Linked DNA regions of Danio rerio. The protein of the gene in region 1 purifies or fractionates together with the protein of each later gene. This does not show direct contact. Links are inferred from orthologs where the notes say so. Each region holds a gene or a part of one and is shown in the gene's direction. Other genes may lie near its edges. The genes, in order: pabpc4, mkrn1, g3bp1 and ddx6.

Region 1 (3,567 bases):
GGAGAGACGTTTTTTTATGTCTGAAATCTTGTAGATCTTCTTCTCGAATACATGCACTGTGCTGACCTCCAAAGGCAAACCACAGTAATTGCATGACTAGTCAATGTCAGTTATTTACACCTACATCAACAGATGATTATAATGATAACATATGCATCTTTAAAACACCAGTCAATGTTCATTATGCATGTTATTCTGAAAGTGATGACAACATTTTTGTTGAGAATGAGTTTTAAAACAATGGCTATATTATTATAGTTATAGTTTTTGTTCTCTGTGTTCGGGTGGATCAATGCTCCTCAGTTAGAAGACCACAACAAACTTTCAAATGGGCTGCTGGATGACTATAAATTAATTTCTATAATATTACGTTAAAACTTCACAATAAGGTTGCATTAGTTCATGTTAGTTAATGCATTTACTAACATGAACAAACAATGAATACATTTATTATATGTTCATGTTTGTTAATCTTAGTTAGAAAGTTCAAAAGCAGTTCATTATTAATTTATGTTTACTCAAGGTGCATCAACTAATATTTTTTAGCATGACTTTGGATTTTAATAATAAGTTAGTAAATACATCAACTAATGAAACCTTATTATAAAATGTGACCAATATTACTAACATAGTTAATTTTTAAATGTAATTAAAGCATGCACTCATACTTCTTTTTCTTCCTACATGAACAGATTTTTAAAAACTTATTGAAATTCCTGAAATTATAGAATGTATTCTCGTTTATTAACCATAATACCATAATATGTTATGAAATTTGAAAGCTGATAAGTGAACATTCCTGTTTATCTGAAAAACAATGCTGACGTTATTCTGCTTTGAAAATGTGTTTTCTGTGCAGGAACGCTATCTTTGTTTTGGTAAATTTTAACCTGCCCAATGCCAGTTTAGCCATTTATATTTCAGCACCCTGGGTTGCTTTGGTGGAACATTGCATATTTCATTCATTCATTCATTCATTCATTCATTCATTCATCCATCCATTCAGAGAGGCTCTAAAAGTATGCGTCCATGACCAAAATGCGACCTCCAGTGGACAGTAGAAGACTCCGATATGAGACACAGATTCTGTTCCACATTAGGTGGTTATTAATTAGCAAATGATGTAAATATTATGAGAGTAAACATTAGGTGAGCAGGTTATATTGTAACCGCTTGTCCTAACAACACGCTTCATGACGAGATACACAATAGTGAGCAATTTGGCTGTTTGCACCAGACTAAACGCGACAGCGATTTAAATACAGCCATTCAGAAGCAAAGAATATGCACTCACTCACGAAATGGTAAGGTTTATAATCTAACAAATACACAATAAAAACTTCTTTAACATTATTAAATCACAGATATGCGTTTAGATCTAAATTTCAACTTCAAACTGTTTATTTTATTTTCAAGATCTGCTGCTTTCAGTATATGGCAATAAATGTCAGGTGAAATGGCATTCAAACTCACATTGTTAGCATTTAACACTGAATAAAGCACATGAGGTGTACCTGAGGTGATCATGGTCAGTTTCTGTTGTTCACCTGGGAGAAATAAAAGCCGTTTCTAATATATCAATTCGAGGTGTTGGTTTTGACAAAAAATCCTTTTAATATGTAAAATATTCCTCCTATCTGGTGCTGTTGCTTTTATTTAGAACACGGTTTAAATCACTCGATCCTGACCTCAATCTGGCAACCTGCGCTTGCGTTTGTTTTGATCCAGGAGTGCGATACCTAGTTCAACCACTGGGTGTCAAACTTACATTCGGAACCTTTAAAATCAGTGTGCTTTTATTTTTCTTTTATTTAGTCATTTATTGAGAGTTTATTAACACACATCACAGAGAAGCTGGGCTAGAAAAGCTGTATAAGAAAAACTCGTAATCTGATTGCTGAAGTAGTCTCATCTTGTGTCTGATTATTAGGTGGTGTGCGACGAGAACGGATCGAAAGGCTATGCCTTTGTGCATTTTGAAACTCAGGACGCAGCCGATCGTGCCATTGAGAAGATGAATGGAATGTTGCTGAACGACCGCAAGGTGTGAGTGTCTGAGCATAACCTTAGTCATATGAAAGGAAGGAGGAGTGCTGGTTTGATGAGCGACAGCGATGCTCAAGAGAGACATTTTGGGTGATCAATTAAAGTTAAAGGATCAGAATCATTTACTGAACTTTCAAATATATTCTGACTTTTAAAAATCATTAAACAATGAAATAAAAAATGTACATACAATTAAAAGCCAATTTAATTGGATTAGTGACAAATCTCCATCACTTAAGGCTGGCACAAGATCATTTTTGAGTTAAATCCCCTGGAACACCTTGTATTGCCATGTATTAGACAACAACAGGCCACTTTTTTCAAATTTTGGACTTATGTTTGGGTTATTTGAAACCTAGTCCCTACTGCCTATTATTTTTAATGGAATGTTGTAATTGCATTACTGTCTGGAAAATCAACAATATTGTAGGCCTTTTTCTAGGGGTACTCATGTCTTATATACAATCTAAGTTTCTTGGTTTATTTACTTTTTGAAGATGTTATCTGTTTCCGATATATTTGTATTATATGTGTATTATTGTAAAACAAATCTTTCATTCATTCAATTTTCTTTTCAGCTCATTACCTTTACTAATCTGGGGAACCATCACCATCTTATCCAGCACATGTTTTACGCAGCGGATGCACTTGCAGCCGCAACCCAACACTAGGAAACACCCATACACTTTTGCATTCACACTAATACACTATGGCAAATTTAGCTTCTTAAATTCACCTGTACTGCATCTCTTTGGACTGTGGGGGAAACCAGAGCACCCGGAGGAAACCAACACAAACACCGGGAGAACATGCAAACTCCACACAGAAATGCCACCTGACCCAGCTGAGGCTCGAACCAGCGACTTTCTTGCTATGAGGCGATTGTGCTACCCACTGCGCCACCTTGATGCCCCTAAAACAAATCAATAAACATAAGTTATAATGAGTTTAAATAGTGATTTATAATATATATAATATGAAACCAATTGAGCTCAGATTTAATTTGTACCTCACCGACTGTCAATGCATGTACATCAACAGTTAGTTTTCCAACATTTTAGTGTTTGTAAGTCACACTTGTCTCTGCTGCAGCTGGTATGAGTCAACAGTTGTTCTGCAGCTGTCACTCCACTGAGTCTGTATTGCATTTCTGCATGAGTCACATTTATGTCTGCACTTTTTTTGTAGGTTTGTGGGCCGTTTCAAGTCCAGGAAGGAGAGAGAGGCAGAAATGGGTGCCAAAGCCAAAGAGTTCACTAATGTTTACATCAAGAACTTTGGCGATGACATGGATGATCAGAGACTGAAGGAGCTCTTTGATAAATATGGTAAGAGTATAAATAATAAATGTTTTCCCAGTGGTTGGGCCTTTTTTCTGAAAATTTGGTGTCTACCTGCAGGTAAAACACTGAGCGTGAAGGTCATGACTGACCCCACAGGGAAATCTCGGGGATTTGGTTTTGTTAGCTACGAGAAGCATGAAGATGCTAACAAGGTACAGCAAAATTGATGCTTTAGCAA
Region 2 (4,254 bases), on another chromosome or scaffold:
TCGAAAAAGTTTAAACCACGAGTGGTGACAGGCAAGGTAGTTTGATTGACATGAAACAAAGACAAACAAGATGTCTAATTCTGCATGTATTTCAGAGCCATTGAGAAATCAGTCAGTAGTTACCTCAGCAATAGATGATAGCAGGGTGATTTCACTTATTAGCTTAGATTAAACTTGTTTTTTTTTTTTGAGAATGTACAGTTGAAGTCAATATTATTATTGCTAATTTTATACACACTACCGGTCAAACGTTTAGGATTTTTAATATAACTAATTTTAATGAAGATTTTTCAGCATCATTAATCATTATTCCAGTCTTCAGAGTCACATGATCCTTCAGAAATAACTAATATTAATTATTATTGTTATTATTATTATTGGGCAACACGGTGGCTCAGTGGTTAGTACTGGCTCGGCTGGGTCAGTTGGCATTTCTGTGTGGACTTTGCATGTTCTCCACCTGTTCATGTGGGTCTGCTCCAAAGTCCAAAGACACGCGCTATATGAATTGGGTAGGCTAAATTGTCCTTAGTGTATGTGTGTGAATGAGTGTATGGGTGTTTGCCAGTGATGGGTTGCAGATGGAAGGGCATCTGCTGCATAAAGCATATGTTGGATAAGTTGGCAGGTCATTACAATCTCTGATTAATAAAGGGACCAAGCCAAAAAGAAAATAAATGAATGAATGTAATTGTGCTGGTTAGAGCCTCGGCTAGGGTATTTCTATGTGGAGTTTGCATGTTCTTCCTGTGTTCATGTGGGTTTCCCCCCGGTTCCCCTGTTTCCCCCACAAGTCCAAAGACATGTGTGTGAATTGGGTAAGCTAAATTGTCCGTAGTGTATGTATGTGAATAAGAGAGTATGGATGTTTCCCAGTGATGGGTTGAGGCTGGAAAGGCATCCGCAGCGTAAAAACGTGCTCGATGAGTTGGTGGTTCATTCCACTGTGGTGACACCAGATTATTAAAGGGACTAAGCCGAAAAGAAAATGAATGAGCTCCTTGTTTGATCGTCTTTAAAAAGGAGTTTGCCACCTATGCAGAGGCTTTAAAAATAATGAAGGGTGAGAATGCAAAAAACAATTGTATGATTTGTTTTAAAAAATATGGTTTTATCTAACCCCTAACAAAGTTTCTGTTTAATGTCTGGATGATTTGTTAATTATTGAATATTTTATACATTGTGTTTTTTATGGCTCTATAATTGATTCAATATCTGACATTTTTCAGTCGGTTTGTGAAAGTTTACAACGGAATGGAGTTAGATGAAATTGTTTTTCTCTTGGGTCTTGGTTTATCTTCGGTTTCCCGAAAACACCCGACCCCTCTGCGGCTTTTTTTGTTCACCGAAAACATTCGATCACGTAATGCGGCTTCGGTTTTCCGAAAATGGCCGAGCGCAGAACGGCCGCTTTCCGGAAGATCCGGGTGCTAAGGCTTCAACATAAACAGCAATGGCGGAGGCAGCGGCAGCGTCAACAGCGGCTCCAGCAGTTATCGGAGGCTGGACGAAGCACGTAACCTGCAGGTTAGTGGAAATCCGCCGATAAACGCGCTTATAATAAAACGAAACGGTCACTAATATAAAACACAAACGGCTGTCTGTGCGTCGATGACGAGGCTTCGGTTATCGCCGCTGTCTTTGTGCTGAACTGGATGAGTGTGTGTGTGAGAGTGTGTGTTTGTTATTGTAACGCACAGATCAGTCCGACAGCGGCTGTTTTTTTGCGTTTCTTTCTTCCTCTGTTAGTGTATCTCTGCGACATCCGAGTTTGTTCAAAACAACACGACAGCGCATCTTCCTCATAATGCAGCCAGTTTGACAGCTAGGAAGCCATAAAATAAAACCTTGAGTTTACTATTCTGGGATTCAGCCAATGTGTCAGTGTCAGCCTTGATGATTTATGCTTATGAATTAATTTATCAGGCTTTATCCAAGTCTAGTCATGACTTTACAAAATGTACGTTTTTATTTAGCCACACAGTCAAAGGTATAACACGACTTAAAGCACAAGTAATATGCAATGTTTACATTAGCACTATTGTCAAATAAACGCACATATGAAGAACTAATTAAGTCTATCCATATAAAATATGTGGTCAGTGTAATGCATATTATAGTCATGTCCTTCTAAAGTCGTTTTTATATTAATATGACCTGGATCTTAATAATATTTTGTTATGAAAATCTTGTTTATTAACCTTCGGATAGCTAGATTATATTTCAGTGGCACCAATCAAGGCCAGTCTCAAAGCCATCCTTCATTTCTAGGTATTTCATGCACGGGCTTTGCAAAGAGGGTGAGAACTGTCGATATTCACACGACCTCAGCAGCTGCAAGCAAACCATGATCTGCAAGTTCTTCCAAAAGGGATGCTGTGCTTTCGGGGACCGTTGCAGGTATGAGACACAATGATGTAATGTGTTGCATTATAATGTGCACCAAAACATCCGCTGGCGCTCATGACCAGATCTGAACAGATCTTGCATAACATCAAAGGTAATGTAATCTGTATTTCTGTGCTGGAGAGCGTAACACGTGAGCGGGTTTAAATGCAGTAGCGGTAAGCAGGGCTTCTGAGAAGCGTTGTGTGTTGCTTCATTACATGCCTGCGACATCTGAGACGCGGAATTTTTTTGTAAACAAGTTGTTGGGTTAGTCGCTTTCTTAAAGAGGCAGTTTATCCAAGTCATTATTTAGTTCTTCCTAAATCTGTAGGGGTTTTTGTCGAAAACAGGTTTTTAACCCTCACCCCATTTACGTTTGAAGAGTTTAACATTTTAAAAATAAAATATGGCATAAAAGAATACATTTCTTAGCATATCTCTTTAAAATAAATGAAAATGAGTAATTGTCCAATGCATTTCTGTTAGATTAATGTTATATGCATAGAAATAAAATGCACTAATATAGAAGTGGCCTCCAAATGCATCATTTGCATGTTCGGGTATCTATATCTATAGACCACATAAATGCAAATGAACAATTTGCAGACCTTTTTTTGTTTCTTTATTTTGAGTCAAACATGAAAATTACTTAAAAATTTACTTGCATCAAACTTGTTTGCGTTTTATATTTTATTTTGATTATTTTTTATAAATAAGGTATTTTGAAGAATGTTGGAAACCGCATTTAACTCCTTAGTATTGTTTTACCCTAATTCTTCCAAATTTCCTCATTTGTGTTTAAAAAAAAAAAAAACATAAAAAAAAAAAAAAAAAAACGTAAATATTTTCAAGTGTACTTGCTGTCTAAATCTACGTAAACGCCAACAAGTGCACTCGAAACAAACTAGCCAACAAGCCAACCACCTTTGGCCAATGCAGTCAAGTGCACAGGTGCTTGAAGCGGTGTAAAAATTAGCCTGTGAGCCAGACAGTTCAGACAATGTTTGTCTCATATCTGTCTGCGGTCAAGTGTATCCCCATAGTAACTGCTGCCCCCAGCTCGGCACTATGGGAATGTCTTTGTTTGGCGTTGGCTGCTCTATGACAGCATTACATCTGACTGAGAGCTCCCTCTTACTCTCCTCCTAAGGTCTGTTTCCTATGGATTCAGGGTCTTCAGCATAAATATCTGATTTTTGTAACTAGACTTTGTGGAATGATTAATGGTGATTAATCGCATTCAAAATAAAAGTTTGCATTTACACAATATGTGTCTGTCTAATGTGTATACACACTTATATAAAATGCAAAAGTGAATAAATCAGGGGGAAGAATTTTATATATATATATATATATATATATATATATATATATATATATATATATATATATATATATATATATATATATATATATATATATATATATATATATATATATATGAATACACACACCCAAAGCAGGAAGAATTATTATTATTATTATTATTATTATTATCATCCTGATTGCATGATATGCCATATTTAATATTTAAGACAAATATGTATTACACCAGACAGCATTTCTAATTATATATTTGTTTTGCATGAACATTGTCATTTATTTTGCCCTGATTGGACCATCTAAAAATGACACGCCTCAAATATATACATGCATGATGTGTGTATTTATATATACATAATAAATATGCACAGTGCATGCATATATTATGTAAATATTATGGCGAGTGATGTAAAAATTTGACATGATTTCTGAAAATAAAAGCATACAATTTGTTAGCATGTTAGCAAGTATTTGGACTGAAAATGTATAACAATTAACATTTAAATAAATAAATATATATACCATAAATATAATATATACCAT
Region 3 (4,296 bases), on another chromosome or scaffold:
ATTTTATCTTTGTCATGATAACAGTACATAATTTTTGACTAGATACTTTTCAAGACGCTTCTATACAGCTTAAAGTGACATTTAAAGGCTTAACTAGGTTATTTAGGTTAACTAGGCAGGTTAGGGTAATTAGGTAAGTTATTGTATAATGATGGTTTGTTCTGTAGACAGTCGAAAAATGTTTAGCTTAAAGGGGCTAATAATTTTGACCTCAAAATCTTTTTTAAAAAAATTAAAAACTGCTTTTATTCTAGCCGAAATAAAACAAATAAGACTTTCTCCAGAAGAAAAAATATTATCAGACATACTGTGAAAATTCACTACTGACCTACTGTATTGTCGTTAAATAGAGAAAACATTTACAATTAACTTTTATTCTAAATCTTAAACCTTATTTTTGATATAATAAACCTATAAAAAGGCTTGAAGCACCGCGAAAGGCCCATATTAAAATTAATTTGAAAGCTAAATTGGCTATTTTTGTTATCCATGAATTTTCAAATAAAATCTAAAATTATGAAGCTCTATATTATTATTATTCTGTTTTAATTTTTTATTATTCAAGTGGCCAAATTTTGAATGAGGAAAGTTAAAGCTCCACTTTTGAGAAAAAGAACCACCCCATTTCATCATGCTGACTATGGGCTTGACATATATATATATATATATGTCATAAATATATATATATATATATATACATAAATATATATATATATATATATATTTAAGACATTAATGTGATAGTTGACCCAAAAATAAAAAAATCTGTCTCTTCCATCTTTTACTACTCGATGACTCTTTACTTGCTTGTTCAAACCTTTCGGTAAATAACATTAGGTCATTACTGAGGCTGAAAAAATTGTTATGTTGCTATATATGAATATTGCTATATTATGTCTATATAACTGTAGAAATAACTTTCAATAATAATTTTAATTAAATCAAAAGCCCTGTCATTAATTATCTAATTACATAAATGAGTACAACACAGTACAAAATGTCTTGTCTTGCTTTAGATGAAGACTTGTTGACATTTTCTTAATCATCTACTCTTTCTTTTCTTTACTCTTTGGCGCTTTCTCAAATGACTTACATTGGCAGTTGAATGTTTGTAGTGTACAGTTTCTAATGTGCACGGAAATCACCAAGTAACTCATAGTTTCGCAAACAAAAATGCGCACAGTAACAACACGGTCAGCATCGGCAGCTGCGCAATGGCTCACCACATAGTTCACGTACGTGCGGGACAGACAAACTTGCTATGATCATTTCTTTCACCCACGTTTTCAGTTGGGTAATTTTAGGGGGTTTACGGCAGAACGAATTATGATAGGATGGGGGGTTCCAATGCGGTGTTCTGATTGGCTGCTGGGTTCTGCGATCATGTGGGCCGTTGAGTTTAGTAGGCGCTGCTGTGAAACCGGCAATTCGCCACACGCGCTGCTGCCAGTGTCTCAGCTAAAAGCTTCACAGCTACCGGCGCAGGAGGTGCTTCACCTAAATCACGTCAAACTCTTCCCAAAAACACATTACTGATTCCCTTTCGGTAAGTTCACTTTAGCTTTTTAAGTTAAATATGTTCTACAGTTTATTTTTCACTACATCTTTTTTGTTCTTGTGCGTTGCGTACTGCTTTCTGTTAGCTCCTGCGCAGCTAATAGCCATGTGCTTAAAGTATGTGATTAATCTAATATAGAGGTATAGTTCCGGTAGTTTTTGTATAAAAAATATTTCATATTATGAATGCTATGATTATTTCAGACGATTAAAAGGTCAAATCCGCCTTAGGTCGCTGGCTGGGTCTTTTTGTTAGTCGACGCTGTGAGGATTAGCTTTAGCTGCATTTGCTTGACCACCAGCCGACATTTCCGACAAAGAGGGAGCACACGTTCACGGTGTCGTTAGGGTGTGTTACGCTTCTTCTGATGTTTAAGATCAGTTTAACAAAATTTCTGCGTATTGTGTTGTCATTCGATATATATTACGATCGTGTAACATTAATTGAAGTCAGCGCGGTAACGTTACTGGGCACGTGCCTGATTCATGAATGGCGAATGAAGAATTCTAGGACGTGGATTAAATTGTGACCTTGATCAAGTAGTTTTCGTTAACCTTTCGAAAACGAAAGAAATATTGATTATCTCTTAGGTACGGGGCTCAAGATGGCAACGCGTCGCTGTTGTCCAGGCCTACTTGGCTCAACCTTACAATGAATTCATCAGATTGAAACAGTTTTCCAATAGGAATAATTTCCCACCCTTCACTAGGAGTTAAAACATCTAATTGAACTGCTGTTCTTTTAGGGCGCGACGGAAATGTATAGACGCTGTTGTTAAACGTCCTCATTGCGTCTAACGTTACGTCTTCATGAGCTTAACAAAGGGATTTGTTTCGGTTTCAACAAGCGGCCTGTCCCGATTTCCTTCATCAAATATCGTTTATAGCGGTTGATATTCAAATGAGTTCCGTCAGGAATGGGAGTTGCCTCTATCAGGATTTTCAAATCCAGATAACGTTAGCTTTCCTCTGAAGGACGCATAAGGAGATGTCGCAGGGCAGTTCCTTTTGTGGTCCTCAAGAAGCAACCATGTGTCTTTGGAACCACATAAGGGTGAAGAAACAGTGGAGGTGCTTTTTTTATAATAAGTCATTTTTGTTTTAGTTGAAACCAGTTGACCAAAGAAATGGTGATGGAGAAGCCAAGTGCCCAGCTTGTCGGGCGAGAGTTTGTCCGACAGTATTACACCCTGCTGAACCAGGCTCCTGACTACCTGCACAGGTGACTTGCCCTTTGTTAACGTATAACATTCCTTTTTTTGGTAGTTTATATTGCAGTAAAGCTAAACTTTGCTGTTGTCTTAAGGTTTTATGGCAAGAACTCCTCATATGTACATGGTGGACTGGACAACAATGGAAAACCAGCAGAAGCAGTATATGGACAGTCTGTGAGTATTATATTACAGTTGTTGTGAATTAAGTTGCCCCTTTTAGACTATTATAACCGAACCTAACATTGTTTTAGAGGTTTTCTGGAATAAGTTTTGTGCGTCTTGGGTAAAAAAAACCCCCACATTTTTGCTTTTTTTAAGATACATTTCACATTACTTCTAAAAGATTTTTCAAATAATTAATTTGAAGACAGTCTTTAAAAACCTTTATTTCCATAAGCTATTTTGTGCCAGTCTATAAACAACAGAGAGTTCAGTTTAAGCATTTACAAGCTTGCATGAGAGAGGATTTAATCATCTACGCCTGAATAAGCCCAACTTCCCTTTACAAACCAATAAGACCACCTTTTAACCATTTTTTTAGCAAATGCTGTGCAGTGCTGCAGTGACTTCCTCATCCTGAGTGAAGCATGATTGTGGGTGTACCCTTGGTCTTGAATGTGCATGCTCTACCATGTAAAGTGGTCATCATGGAGTTCCTCTTTGACACCAGGGAGAAAAAAAATCCAAATCAAGTTTCAATCAAGAGCAAATTTTAATAAAAAATAATCCATATGTGCACAAAAATATTTCCATTTTGTGAATTAAATCAGAATCTAACTCTTACATGGTTTAGATGAATCTGCAGGAATTGAAACTATTAATCCAACAACCAATCATATTTGTTTATCACTGACGCACTTAAAGTTTTGGGGTTTGCTTCACCAATAAACCTCTCCATTTTGAATTAAAGATGCAAAATGTTTAATTTAAAGATTTTTACACCCTTTATATCTCGCAATTCTCTATTTTACACTTCATGTAAAGTACATATTGAATAAATGTTATGTGAAAATGTGAGATATGGTAGCTGCTCTTATGTAATTCGGTGCTGTAAATCATTTTTTATTCTTCTCTCATGTGAACAGGAAATCCATAAGAAGGTGATGGCTCTAAGCTTCCGTGACTGTCACACTAAGATCAGACATGTCGATGCTCATGCCACCCTGAACGAGGGAGTGGTGGTTCAAGTTTTGGGGGAGTTGTCCAATAACATGCAGCCCATGAGGAAGTTCATGCAGACATTTGTTTTGGCACCTGAGGTACGAACATTCCTTCATAAATGTGTTATCTGATAAAATTGCTAGCATGTCCTGAGGTGAATTAAACTATTGTGTATTTGAAAAATAGTTTTCATGCTATCATAGATTTATTGTACTTATCTGCATTGGCAGATGTTCATGGATCAGTAAAATGGAAGTGAATATGCCAACTGGCATAATAGGAATCATTGTAATATTTAAAGCAGGGGTCTCAAACTCAATTTACCTGGGGGCCGCAGGAGGCAAAGTCTGGGTGAGGCTGGGCC
Region 4 (4,031 bases), on another chromosome or scaffold:
CATGTTGTTTTGAACATCCAGTAGTATGGGTGTATATGCGAGTAATTTATAGGTGTATATACACGTGTTTTATGTATGTGTTGATAAGCAAAGTTTGATTTAAATCCTACACGGCACCTCATAAATAACCCTGAGCAAATACCTTACAACTCCATGTTACGTTACCCTGCATTACTTTGTGCCTCGCGCTCCCTATAAATGATCATTTTGTCCTATTTCTCACACATCTGTAAACACAATATCGACAAACTGATAGTAACAATTGAAAGGTGTTTGATAAAGGATGTCTCTCATCATAGACAATCATGATAGCCTTATTTAATACACTTTCTTTGTATATACTATTAATGCCCTTTTGTTTTATACCCAAGAACTTACTGGCTGTTGTTACCACCTTTCCCAGTGACCTCTTCTGGGCCTCAGAAGCATTTCCATACCAATAGATCACACAAAATGTTGCAATAATTTCAATAAAAACACTAGAAAATATGATCAACGATGTGTTGTCAACAATAAAAGACAATCGTTTCTTTAAGAAGTACATTCTCTGTTGCCTTTTCCTTATAGACTCAGTCCACTTACGTTTCCTGTCCAACAACACATCTAAATATATTTGGATGTAACTGCATTTAGGTGAATTGTATAAACTTAATTGGCTGCAGTGTATGAGTGTGTATGGATGTTTCCCAGTACTGGGTTGAAGCTGGGCATCTGCTGTAAAAAAAAAAAAAAAAACATATGCTGGATAAGTTGGCGGTTCATTCCGCTGTGGCAACCTCTCATGAATAAATGGACTAAGCTGAGAGAAAATTGATGAATTATTAGGTTTAATGTATATTATGTCAAACTTAAGGACACGTTCGTCATCGTGCTCAAAATTTATGTTTTTTCGCAACGAAAAATAAATAAATAACAGACATACTAATGCACAAAAATGTTACGTTACGTTAAAAAACTACTTTCTAGCCACATAAGTCAGTCTAATTAGTCATTAAACTACTCAAGGCAATTCATTAACTACCTCCAAACACCTCAGGCGTGCCTATCAACAGATTCCTACTTTGTGCACTTCAAGCCTCTTCAACAATAATAAAATAAGCATTATTATTAAAGATAAAATATGTTTTTAAATACCCAAATAAAAAAACAGTATGTCTAAACCACATGGATCCTTACACCAATTAGTCAAGTATAAACACGTTGAGCTAATTAAATGACACCCTTCACATGCCGTGCTTCAGCCAAGACTACAACAAGCTCAGGTAGGAATTAAACTGCGCTGCTATGTAATTAGGACGTTTTTAAAGCAAAATGTGTAATTGTGACGACCTCAACCGCTTACAAATAAATAAAACATAAATAAAACGAAATTCTAAGAGCTTAATTAACGTATTCTTAATATATATATATTTAACAACGCATTTGAAATGACGGCAGCATTAAATTGCGTTTTCTAAACAATCGTCATATGCGTTGCGTTTGTGTGGATTAGACAGGGCTCTGTCTCATGTGACTGATTATGGGAGGGTTTAAAGATGACTGGAAGCCATCTTACACACTCGCTTTACACCCCGAAATATGTCACAACTCTACACCTATAATTCACAAACACAAACACACTGAAAGATATTCTCTGCCACGTTTGGTAAGTTTGCAGAACGTCAAATCTACGTGTTGTGTTCTGGGGATTAAGTCGGTTTTGTGGGTTTCTTTGTGTCTTGGTGTTTACAAATTTGTGATGTCTTTTTGGCTCGCAGTGTTTGTGTTAGCTGATTTAGTTAAGAGTTAAATATGTTCTTGCTTCTGTTTTAGCGTTTATGAAACGAGCGTTTAGTTCTTTATACTGGTGATTGTGAATCTGAGGTTACGCGTGCGGCCTGTGTGCAAGCCAAAAGCTAACGAGCTTGAGCACTGCTAATATTTCCTTCCTAACAGCTTATATATTTAGATTTGCTTATAATAAAAGCCACATTCCATCGTATTATGATAACCGTGTTTGCTAAAGATTTAAAATGTATCCGACTATTAAAATCTGTCTGGCTTGAAGCCGTCAGCGGTAGCTGCGTAGCTAAACATTAGCATTAACGTTTGTTGCGTGACGCCGAGTTTCACGTTATGTGGAATCAATACGGTTAACCTTTAAGATGTACATTTTAGCTTAATAACTACAACGTGACACTGGTTATATCGTATAACATAACATTGTTTTTTAGTATTCGTGGAATGAGTTCAATGAACTATACGCTTTCGCTTAACTTAAGGTAACCAAACATTTGTTATGTCTAATTTTAAGCTCCACAGCTGTGTAGTCAACGTGCAACTTCACCTGTTTTTATAGATGCATAACAACACTGAAGTCACATTTATTAAAGTTTGTCATTTTTAAATGCTTTAGGTAAACGCGAGGCTGTTTTACAATGAGGCCTATCGTGTTGACATTGTGCCAGCTGCTGCTGCCATCATTATTGAACTCACATTAGACATTTAATAACGTTTATGGTCTGTTCATAGATCTGAAAATGAATTAAAGTTGTAATTGGTTACAAATTCAAGAGACTTTTTTATCTTGACACTTCTACCAGAGCTTGTCCCTGTAATTTCTGCATGAGTGTGTGTTAACTCTTTTGATGCTGTAATATTGCAGGTAATTGTAGAAGTATAAGTGTTAGTGCTAGTTTGTGGTAAAGATGCACAGAGCAATTAGCACACTTTTTGTTAAAAGAAAATTAAAATGATGGAACCTTTTATCAAACCCAACCTTAACCCTGATCTCATCTTGCATCACAAAGTTTCACATTAGACCTCATACGATGTCTTGCTTGGTCGACATTAGGCATGGGCTGGTATAAGATTCTGATGGTATGATAACCTCGGATAAAAATATCTCTGTTTTACGATATTGTGATTACTCCTTTTAAAATATATTCTAATTAAATGTCTGGGTAAAAAAACTAACTTTTTTTTTCTCCCCTTTCAACACAATTTATTTTATTTAGAGAAACATTTGATATATTTTGTAATGGTAAACATGTTAGGCTAAATAATTCAAATGAATCATTGGCTGCGTCCGAAACCGTATACTTCCATACTATATGGTATGCTAAAATCAGTATGCGAGTCGAGTAGTATGTCCAAATTCATAGAGTTCGAAAATCAGTTTGCGAGAAGTACCCGGATGACTTGCTACTTCCGGTGAGATTCCGGAGTGCGCATCCTATGCACGCTGCGCTGTCCCATAATGCCACGTGAGAGAATTCATAAATGGAAGTTAAGCAACGCAACTGATGCAGGTAGGTCACGTGACCATGACAAAATGGTGGATATAGTACGTCCGAATTCTGTCCATACTTTTCACATTCATACTGTATAGAACGTACGTTTGTAACTGCCGAGTAGTACATTTAAATTCAAAAGCAGTACCTACTGAGTAGTAGGCGGTTCGGACACAGCCTTTGACTAATGCTGTCTTCATTTGTTTAAAAAAACACAGATTTCCTTACAATTTAAAACAGCATCTTTGGATTTTTTTTTTGATTCCTTTCTGCTGGAAATACTGTTGTCCTAAAAAACCAACAACAACAAAAAACAAAACTTGGACATACCTTAGGAATGGTATAGTAGGAAACTTTTGCGGTTTTAAAACCTTGGCTTTTCCAAACCGTGGTATACCTTAAACTTATCGTCCCATGCCTCGTCGACATTGCTTGATCTAAGCACTCAATGACTAAGTTTACATTAGTAATTAAATTATTTGCCTTAATCTGAATAAGACAGTAATATGATTAAGGTGTTCGCATAAGTTGCAATTTGTATGTTCTTTTCATGATCCTGTTTTACATGTTGTAGCACAATTCAATTAACTTCATAGAATCGCCACGCTATTCACATTTCCTCTGGGATATCATGTAATTTCCGGTGTTTTAAATTTGTCGACTTTAACTGCAGTTTGGCACTTTCACTCAGGAACATTTCATGCATGCCTCCCCTGACAAATGAAATATTGGATGAGTATTTAATGCTGTAAGAGGGTC

What was found.
Region 2: the proteins of pabpc4 (region 1) and mkrn1 purify together in Homo sapiens (affinity purification with mass spectrometry; 3 studies listed by BioGRID and IntAct, with this or other methods). This does not show direct contact. The link is inferred for Danio rerio from reciprocal best matches to the Homo sapiens genes PABPC4 and MKRN1.
Region 3: the proteins of pabpc4 (region 1) and g3bp1 purify together in Homo sapiens (affinity purification with mass spectrometry; 4 studies listed by BioGRID and IntAct, with this or other methods). This does not show direct contact. The link is inferred for Danio rerio from reciprocal best matches to the Homo sapiens genes PABPC4 and G3BP1.
Region 4: the proteins of pabpc4 (region 1) and ddx6 purify together in Homo sapiens (affinity purification with mass spectrometry; 3 studies listed by BioGRID and IntAct, with this or other methods). This does not show direct contact. The link is inferred for Danio rerio from reciprocal best matches to the Homo sapiens genes PABPC4 and DDX6.

The regions. Positions count from the first base shown.
Region 1 is NC_133192.1:26,709,112-26,712,678, reverse strand, and holds part of pabpc4 (polyadenylate-binding protein 4), read left to right. Parts: intron 1-1,930; coding exon 1,931-2,046; intron 2,047-3,234; coding exon 3,235-3,374; intron 3,375-3,446; coding exon 3,447-3,541; intron 3,542-3,567.
Region 2 is NC_133179.1:12,864,249-12,868,502, forward strand, and holds the start of mkrn1 (probable E3 ubiquitin-protein ligase makorin-1), read left to right. Parts: upstream 1-1,440; 5' UTR 1,441-1,453; coding exon 1,454-1,527; intron 1,528-2,271; coding exon 2,272-2,400; intron 2,401-4,254. UniProt on the Homo sapiens protein: E3 ubiquitin ligase catalyzing the covalent attachment of ubiquitin moieties onto substrate proteins. These substrates include FILIP1, p53/TP53, CDKN1A and TERT.
Region 3 is NC_133189.1:30,206,723-30,211,018, reverse strand, and holds the start of g3bp1 (ras GTPase-activating protein-binding protein 1), read left to right. Parts: upstream 1-1,430; 5' UTR 1,431-1,546; intron 1,547-2,662; 5' UTR 2,663-2,684; coding exon 2,685-2,779; intron 2,780-2,863; coding exon 2,864-2,945; intron 2,946-3,856; coding exon 3,857-4,030; intron 4,031-4,296. UniProt on the Homo sapiens protein: Protein involved in various processes, such as stress granule formation and innate immunity. Plays an essential role in stress granule formation.
Region 4 is NC_133193.1:46,839,462-46,843,492, reverse strand, and holds the start of ddx6 (probable ATP-dependent RNA helicase DDX6), read left to right. Parts: upstream 1-1,221; 5' UTR 1,222-1,262; intron 1,263-1,557; exon of another isoform or gene 1,558-1,645; intron 1,646-4,031.